Oryzias latipes: one gene and its partner. The protein of the gene in region 1 purifies or fractionates together with the protein of each later gene. This does not show direct contact. Links are inferred from orthologs where the notes say so. Each region holds a gene or a part of one and is shown on either strand. Other genes may lie near its edges.

Region 1 (4,315 bases):
CTACATTGTGATCACACACACTGACGTGTCGACATCAGCGTAAGCGAAGCTGCACTGTCAACAGATCTCTCATTTGTTTGGTGCTGAATGATCCTGCCTGATCATTTGAAAAGAAGGAGATCGGAGATGAAATGATCTCCTTAGTTGCAAAAAGAAAAGAAAAAAGCAAAAAGTAGTACACTTGAAGTATTTTTTGTTAAGTATGCATGAATGTAAGTATATCAAGCATATTATAGATCAGAGGTCTGCAACATCTAAAGTGAAAAGTGTAACTTGGGTCTACATCTTAACACCTAAAAACATGCAAGAGTTGCAAAATTCCACTTCACTATTAAGAATAAATTATATTTTTGTGACAATCAGGCCACTCATTCATAAAACGGCATAACGGCTGCACAGCTTTAAAATGTTTTCAATATTTGCAGTACAGCTGTTTAATAAATATATAGCAATAAAAATGATATATTTTTCTATTTATAACAATTTTAAATCTTTTTACTTTTGAAAGTTAAACAAAAAGTTCCTTTCAAAATAAAATGCATCCTATGTCAAATAAGACAGGGCTAAAGTTGCAAGAATGCCAAGTCAAACGTGACATTTACCATCAAATGACTTCGGTGCACTGTCATCCTTTTTCCATTTCCTTACTATCCAAAATAAGCATGACAAGATTGGTGCAGAATACTGGTATTTTTTTTTAGATCCAAAGGCTACTGCAACCAGGAGCTTTGCCTCTGAACATCAACCAGACACTTTGTACAGCCAAAGATAGTAATATGTGCTTTATATGCATCCATATCATCTTGCTCAGTTATCTGACATGTTAAAAATCGAAACATAAATAAAAACCTAACGAAAATAAATGTACCTAAACAAACACCCTACTGTGCATTTTTCTTCAAAACCAAAAAGTCATGATGAAGGGACAAAAGAGTTGCATGTGGCTCCAGAGCCACAGGTTGTGGACTGTTGCAGACCATGTAAGTGTAGAGTAGGAAGTATACTGACTGAATACTTTTTAAGACTAAATTGTTACATTTAAAGTTTACAATATATGCTAAAGGTAGTAAATAAAAAATAAATGTCAATTATAGTGTCTCAATTTCAGCATTCACCAGGCCCAAGAATACTTGTAGTAAACTTAAATAGTATGTTTTGCTAAGGGGAATATTACTGCACACATGCAATACCATGCAAATGACAATTTAAAAAATGTTTAGAGTGTGCATATTCATATTCTCTACAGGTGTACTAAGATTTGAGCATAAAAAATGCAATGCCACTATGATTTTACAACATAATTGGTGTGTAGGGTGAATACACATTAAGGAGCTTCTTAAAAATGAAAGGGTACAAAATGTAATGTTATCATATTTTTTCAAGTGTTACATCATGTACTTTTGTAAATATTTAAAAAGGTTTTCAGGGATTTCGCAGTGTTTTTTGACATCTTTGAACCCTAGATGGAACGAATGTTTCCCGCCGCTGAGTTTCCCTCCGGTGGGGTTTTGTCTGCCCACCGGCAGCGGATTTTTGTTTTGCACCTTCGTTAGCTGTCAAACCTCTTTTTTAAATTAAAAGTAATAATGATAAAATAAAAGATCTGATAAACAGTTTAAAATCTGGATGTGGAAGGTAAAATTTATTGTATTTATTTCCAATTCAGCAGTACGTCAATACGTGTTTTCATTTTGAATAATTTACGGTAACGGTGTAATTTAATTTTAAATATCCTGGGAGTATGGAACTCAAAAGGTGTTCTGTGTTTTTGCAGACTAATTAAATTACCTTAAAGCAACAATGCTTTGTTTTGTAACGTGGGTACCTTTTAAGATTGAATCTAGAAATGGTATAAACCATAGTTACAACATTCTATTGAAAGGAGCAATTATATACATTATATATGCTAAAATAAAAAAGATCACGTGTTAAAATCTATTTTGTGGGATTTTCTACAATCTGAGAGAACCTCGGGGTCAAAGTATTCCATAAAACCATTTTTTTTTCAGCTTAGTCAAGTCAGTACTATTTCCACAGCCATGTTTGTGTCTGTGTAGAAAGGAATCAGGTGCTCAGAGTTTGCCTGTTGGCACCTTTGCAGGAACTGATGGAGTCATGCAGAGGCAGCATTCCAGAGAGCCTGCTGCAATCTTGTCATTCTGCCTGAGTCTCATGCACGGTTCTGGCTCACTGTAGCCTCACCTGTGTGCTTTGTTTGCCAGTTTGCAGGCTGTTGAAGATGAAATAAACAAGCATCCTCTGTGAGGATGTGCTGATAGGAGGCAGATTTTTTGCACTGATTGCCCATAAGTGATCCCATTCCAGCCTCTGAACCATTGTGAATGTATATTTAACATTTTCTTGTGTTCTTTTACCTGTGTTCAGAACAGAAAGACACTCTTCTGATCGATGTCGTCTCTTGGGTCAAAAATCCTCTCCACTCTGCCGGCTGATGAGGAACAGTTCCCTCTGCAGTTCAGCGACAAAGTAGACCCAAGCGTGGTGGAAGTACTGAGGCGCTGTCGGAAGCAGTTGTACGGTAACGCGACGTGCGCCAGCCAGGGGCTCAACGCCCAGATCATTCTAGACATTTCATGGGAAAGATTGAACACAGGGACGTGGCGCCACGTGGACAAGGAATGGAGACGGGTTTACTCGTATGGCTGCCTCTTCAAAGTGGCCGCACTGTGCCGAGAAAATCCATCACAACAGGAGATCCTGGAGGCCGTCAGGACTTGTGACATGGGTTTACTGATGGGTGCGGCCATCATGGATGACATACTCCAGGTTCTTGTTCGAATTCTGCAAAATGAAATAAGCGAAACCAGTAAAGACGAGGAGAAAAGTGTAGAAGTTGTTGCTAAGGTTTGTTATGATTTTCGACACAAAATTACTAAATGTTTTTGTCATTTTGCTCCATCGCTGGTTTTTATTTTTCGCACATGCTAATCCTTTTCATTTCTGGTGGCATTTCATGAAAAAATTGATGCATAAAACATTTTTTTCTATTCCTTTTGCACTTGCCTTTCTCAGACCCGACATGGCTGAGTTTTTTAAATTCACACTTGATAAATGCTCTTTCAAAACTAGCTGAAACATTCAAGGTTGCTGCGAAGAGCTGCACAAAGTTCAAGGATTTTTGGTTATTTCTTCCTCCTGCTGCTTGTTTTTTTTTTAAGCTTGTTTTTTTTTTTATGTTAAGAGGGAGAAAATAACCTTTTACACAGTCCAAACCACATTTCATTGACATGCACGTCTTTTTGTTCTGTCACGAACAGAAATTAAAGACTGAGGGCCCCCGCAGTCCTTCAATCAGAGAAGAGAAGGCAGTGCCCAGGATCAAGTGTCCTTCCCTGGAAAGCTTCAGCACAAACTACCTGCTTCCCCTCAAACCGGTGATTTTAGAAGGAATCATTGACCACTGGCCCGCTCTCAACAACCACCCCTGGAGGTTTGTTTTATTCTCAGGAAACACTAAACTATGGCTGTCAACAGGGGGAAAAAATCATATTTGACTTGTGTTTCCCATTTTTTTTTTTTATTTTGATAGTTTGTAAAACTAACAAGTCAAAAATGTCTTGTTTTTGAAACAACACAGTCTTTCTAATGTTTAGAGTTCTCTGATGCTGCTGAGATGACTGAAACACGCAGAGGAGCATGAGAGTCCTTCATGCTGTGTACAAACATTTACAGGTTTAAGAAACCATAAATAAAAGTTGACATAGTGATGCTGTTTAAACAAAAACGTTTTTTCCCCTGTATTTTATGTTTTAATTTTCAAGAACACATTTTCATCTTTTAAAACAACGCCCTCCAATCATTCTGCAAGCTTTATTAATTTTTTTAAAAATAAACTTGACATCATTTTTGCAAGGATGTCGACCTGATTTATTCAAAGCAGCTTTCTAACTACTTCTTGTGGTTCGATTCTGTCAACCAGCATGACAAAATCCCAGAAAGAAACTTGTAGGTAATAAAAAGCATTAAAAAACAAACAAACTCCATAGGAAAAAACCTTATGAAACCCCAAGGATGGAAATATTCCCCCCAAAAAAGTACAAATGTGCTCAACTACAAGCTAGTAAACCGATTAGGTCTGGTTTAAAACAATAGATTCAAAAAATTCCTGTATTATTTCAGGGACAAACACTGAAATTGAAGGAAAGTAGCAATGGCAGCTATAAAATAAAAGCATGGGGTGGGATTCCCCTGAAGTGTCCTGTGACACTTCAGAAGTGAGAAGTGGGACAAATATTAGAGTTCTGTTCTGCAGAAACAACAGAGTAAAGGATTCTGGGTGTTATGTAGACCTTTT
Region 2 (4,420 bases), on another chromosome or scaffold:
GGCCATGCTGACGTCTGAGCAGCCTGAGCTCTGCAAACGCATTCCTGGAACTGTATGGAAATCACTCTGACAACATTCTTACGTGCTGGTGTTATAGCTGACTTAATGTTTTACACTCTTAACCTCTCTCTTTACAGACCACTCACTGGTTGGAGATAATGCAGGCTCTACTGCTCTGCGAAATATCTGACCTGCGTCATCGTGGGGTGGTCATTGTTCAGAACATGATCCAGGCTGATAGAGATCTGACTGAGAAGCTTATGGAGAGTGAAGTCCTGGAGATTCTTACCGTCCTTGCTAAGGGAGGAGAGGGCACATCTGATCCGGTGTCAAAGATTGCCAAGGACTGCCTGGACAAAGCAGTGGAGTATGGCCTCATCAGAAGCAGAGAGGGGAAGATGGAAGGAACTGAGCCCTAACAACACGGCTGCAGTGTGTGGATGTGACACCTAGGAGTTGTAATTTACATGAAAGAGGAAATTTTATTACAACTGAAAGTAATTTATGAAAGGTCTCTTAAAAAAACAAACATGTGACAGAAGAATTTGAGTGTTGTCAGGCTCTCATATTATGTGGCTTTTGACCTTCAAAATTACTAAATCCACTTGAATCCACTTCTGTATTATACATTTTCTACTATTTTGGTCTTGCTTTTTTATGTATTGCCTCTAATTTTAACATGTCTTTCTTTAAATATGAACTGCTAAAGATCTCACAATCACATGATGTACTTTGTTTAAAACGTTTATGGCACAATTATTTCCACTACATTCCAGTTCTTTATGTTTAGTTTGCTCTCAAGGCAATTTAGTTTAAACATGTGCACAGAAAAGCAAAATTTATATTTGGTAACGTTTTGTCACATGTATTTTCTTACCTTATAAATCGGTTATCTAATAAAGTTGAACACATTTAAATACATGCAAACTACCTGGTTATTTTTTATTTTACTCTGCTTTAAAGAAAATATTAACTTCTTCCCTTTTCAATTTTTTATACACTTCCAGAAACTGTAACTGCTTATTCTAGACTTGCATCTTCATCCTTATGGCATTCCTTTTTCTTACATGTACATTTTATTTTTCTTTATGACCCAAATTAAAATGGGTAATAATATAGCTTTAACTTGTATTTTTAATCAGTTGTATTAAAAAACATTGGGGTGGACTAATACAAAGTTTTCATTTGTCTGTTCGGTTTTCATTTAATTCAGATTTTAAAATGAATCATGCTAAAATTACCAACAATGGATTTAAAAATGACAACCTATTTTGTTTTTTTCTATCACTTTTTTTTATTTCTAATTTTAAAATACTACGCTATTGTCAACTACTTCTTCCTTTTTTTTAAATAAAGTTTTTTTGAACGGGGAAAAAAGCTATTCAAAAGTACAACAACGCATGCGCAGACGTTTCCGAATCGTCTTGTATCTACTGCCCAAAAGTTTCTGAAACAAACCCTTTAAAGACGCAAAAGCCGATGTAATGCGCTGGTTTGGGTTTGGTTTTAATGCTTTTCAACAAATTCAAACCCAAAATAATCCAGAATACAGCGGCCTCGATGCCGAGGAAAGGCTGAGCAGTCCGACTGAGCTGAAAGGTCACGTGAACAGAGATGGTCGCTGTTTTGAGTTTAGTCAAATCCGAGCAAGCTGGAGCAGAAGAGCATCGCTGCATTCGGATGGTCAGATTTCAAAATCCCGATTGAAACAGTTATTTATTGATTTTTGTTTTCTAGGAATAACATTTTTGTTGTTGTCTATCAGACGCCGGCTGCGTGTGTGTGGCAGGTTTCGTTAATGACTCTTGCAGAGGAGTTATAAAACAAAGCCGTGGCTGCAGAGATGTTTTCATCAGTGAGTCCCACCTCACACTCGCTTTCCTGGACAGAGTTGAGTGCTGGGATCTGCAGAGCAGCGATGAAACTCCATCATGGACCATGGGCATTGACACCCAGTCAAAGAGCTCTGGTCAGTTGCATCTTGTTTAACCCTTGTGCCATCCTGATCCTATGGGGTCAAGATGACCATTGACGTGTTATTCCTACCATGACAAAGGTGGAGAGGATTTCATGTAATCCATGGAAACCAGTGAAGATCACAAACCATTGAAGAAAAAAGTTCAGCGCACTGTCTGGTGGGGTCTAGATGACCCCACTCCCAATGTTAAAATGCCTAGGATAGCACAAGGGTTAAATAACAAACAGCAGTGTACTCAATGTCTTTGCTTTCCTTATGTTCTTATTTTTTTTTAGCAGCTGTCAATTTGCCACTGGTTCCTGGTGGTTATATAGCCTCCAAACCTCCGTTCTTCCACTCCTTGTCACCTCACATGCAAGCCAAGAGCCTCGCTTTGGGTGGAGAGCATGTCATCCTCCTCACTGCAACTGGAGCTGTTTACACTTGGGGACAGGGAAGGTACAGCAGGAGCGTCCTGCTAACTAAACACCATAAATCACAAAGTTACCTTAAATGTTTACACAAATGCTAAAACAATCTCATGGCAGTGTGAAGCATACATTAACGAATTGCATAGCTTTATGCATTTGACCAATCGGATGTCATTAATCAATTGAATGGAGCCCTGTTATGTTAGATGCCTGCCTGCCTGCCTGCTATGTAGTTGAGGGTCATTTGGAGTATATTTTAAGTGGTGTTGACTTATTGAAGTGAAATGGGGATTATGTTTTATTTGTATTTTGTTCAGCTATTTGTTCATGTATTGCAAGTCATGTTGTGAATATTGATCACAGCAGTTTCCTTTTCATGTTGTGCAGCCCTAATTGTGTGTATCTCTGTGTGTTTTTTTAATAATTTGTTTGCATGCCTTTTTTTAATTTCATTTTTTATGACAGTCATGGTCAGTTGGGACACGGAGGACTCCTCCCTGAGGAGGAGCCCAGGACAGTGGAGGCTCTGTGGGGGATGAAGATGAGCTCTGTATCTGCAGGAGGATGGCACTCTGTCTGCATTAGTGGTAGGCCCTGAAGGCATCGCAGGTGCAGTGTAAAAGTGATAGAAGACATTTTTGACAACAAACTGAACTGCGTTTATATTCCTTCTTAGATGCTGGAGACCTTTATGTGTGGGGCTGGAATGAAAGTGGACAGCTTGGACTTCCATCACAAAGGCTGAGAAAAACTTCAGAAAAGAAGACGGACCAACAGGAAGGTTTGCAAGCAATACATTATTTTTTTCTACTGTTCAATATAAATAAAAACTAATATTTAAGATGAACAAAAATCAGTTTCCCATGCTAAGAACAGCATTAGCTATAAGAAAGAATAGAAATGCCACTGCCTAGGTTTTTATTAAGTTGCTTTAGATGTCCATTGTCATATCTTAAAGTCTTTTGTGTCATTATCTACGTTGAATAGGAGAATTAAGCCAAAATAGCAGCACACACCAGGAAGAAGTATTCATTTCAATCCAAGCGTTCCCAGCCCTGTTTGATGTCACTCCATTATGTGAGGTCAAAACAGTGAGTTGTGGCTCACGGCATACAGCTGCAGTAACAAGTAAGAGTCTCTTTACAAGGTTTATGTCCATCTTAGATCGATGTTTGACAAATGTATGTCAATAATCTTTTTTTTTTGTTATTTCTGATTTCAGCTTCTGGGGATCTTTATACTTGGGGATGGGGTACGTTTAACCAGGCTCAAACTTTTAAGACCACCAATGAAATTGAGATGTGGTGTTAAAGCCTATATCTGTATGACTCCTCATTGCGTTGTGTTTTCAGGTGAATATGGCCAACTTGGACACCAATCATTTAGCAGTTCAGATGAGCCCCAGCGTGTGGAGTTTTTTAGGGCGCAGCAGCTGCATGTTGTTGGCGTGGTGTGTGGCCCCTGGAACACCTTTGCTGCAGTTGCCAATGAGGAAGGACTTGCTCCTGAATATCCCACAAAACCTCTCAATAAACATGGAGAGTAACATTTTATACCAAACAAGTATTCTAACAATTGAGATTTTGTATTTATTTAGTATAATAAAGACGTTGGAAATTAAGCACAATGTATAATAAACTATTTATATACAGACATTAAAAAGAGCTTAGAAATTTTAATTCACAAGTAAGTAGAAATTTAAGGCGGAGCTGTGAAAATCATTGGACTTATAACTGACACTACAATGAAAGTTACAGCTGAGTATTTCTGTGATCCGGTCAAGGTCTTTACAGCACAATCTTGAATGAGCTGCAAAAACAAAGTTATAGAAAATGTTAGAACATGCAGAACGATGCTGAATGAACTGCAAGGGGATATAGTAGTGATGACATGGATAAAGGCTTCATTCACCTGACAAAATCTGGTGATCTTGAAATGACATGCTGAAATTCAGAGAGGTTCACGGTTCCATCCTTGTCAATGTCTGACTCTTCAAGAATCTAAATGACATTCAAGGGAGATTAAGCTTCAC

The links.
Region 2: the proteins of kdm8 (region 1) and rccd1 purify together in Homo sapiens (co-immunoprecipitation; 3 studies listed by BioGRID and IntAct, counting the BioPlex papers as one, with this or other methods). This does not show direct contact. The link is inferred for Oryzias latipes from reciprocal best matches to the Homo sapiens genes KDM8 and RCCD1.

Annotation. Positions count from the first base shown.
Region 1 is NC_019866.2:7,579,092-7,583,406, reverse strand, and holds the start of kdm8 (jmjC domain-containing protein 5), read left to right. Parts: upstream 1-1,492; 5' UTR 1,493-1,635; intron 1,636-2,385; 5' UTR 2,386-2,409; coding exon 2,410-2,865; intron 2,866-3,278; coding exon 3,279-3,451; intron 3,452-4,315. UniProt on the Homo sapiens protein: Bifunctional enzyme that acts both as an endopeptidase and 2-oxoglutarate-dependent monooxygenase.
Region 2 is NC_019864.2:22,113,508-22,117,927, reverse strand, and holds rccd1 (RCC1 domain-containing protein 1), read left to right. Parts: upstream 1-1,371; 5' UTR 1,372-1,484; coding exon 1,485-1,683; intron 1,684-1,765; coding exon 1,766-1,969; intron 1,970-2,253; coding exon 2,254-2,416; intron 2,417-2,853; coding exon 2,854-2,975; intron 2,976-3,064; coding exon 3,065-3,169; intron 3,170-3,375; coding exon 3,376-3,516; intron 3,517-3,610; coding exon 3,611-3,640; intron 3,641-3,740; coding exon 3,741-3,934; 3' UTR 3,935-4,009; downstream 4,010-4,420. Other genes in the region: unc45a (protein unc-45 homolog A), read left to right, coding at 1-52, 138-419; cib1 (calcium and integrin-binding protein 1), read right to left, coding at 4,176-4,197, 4,300-4,388. UniProt on the Homo sapiens protein: Plays a role in transcriptional repression of satellite repeats, possibly by regulating H3K36 methylation levels in centromeric regions together with KDM8.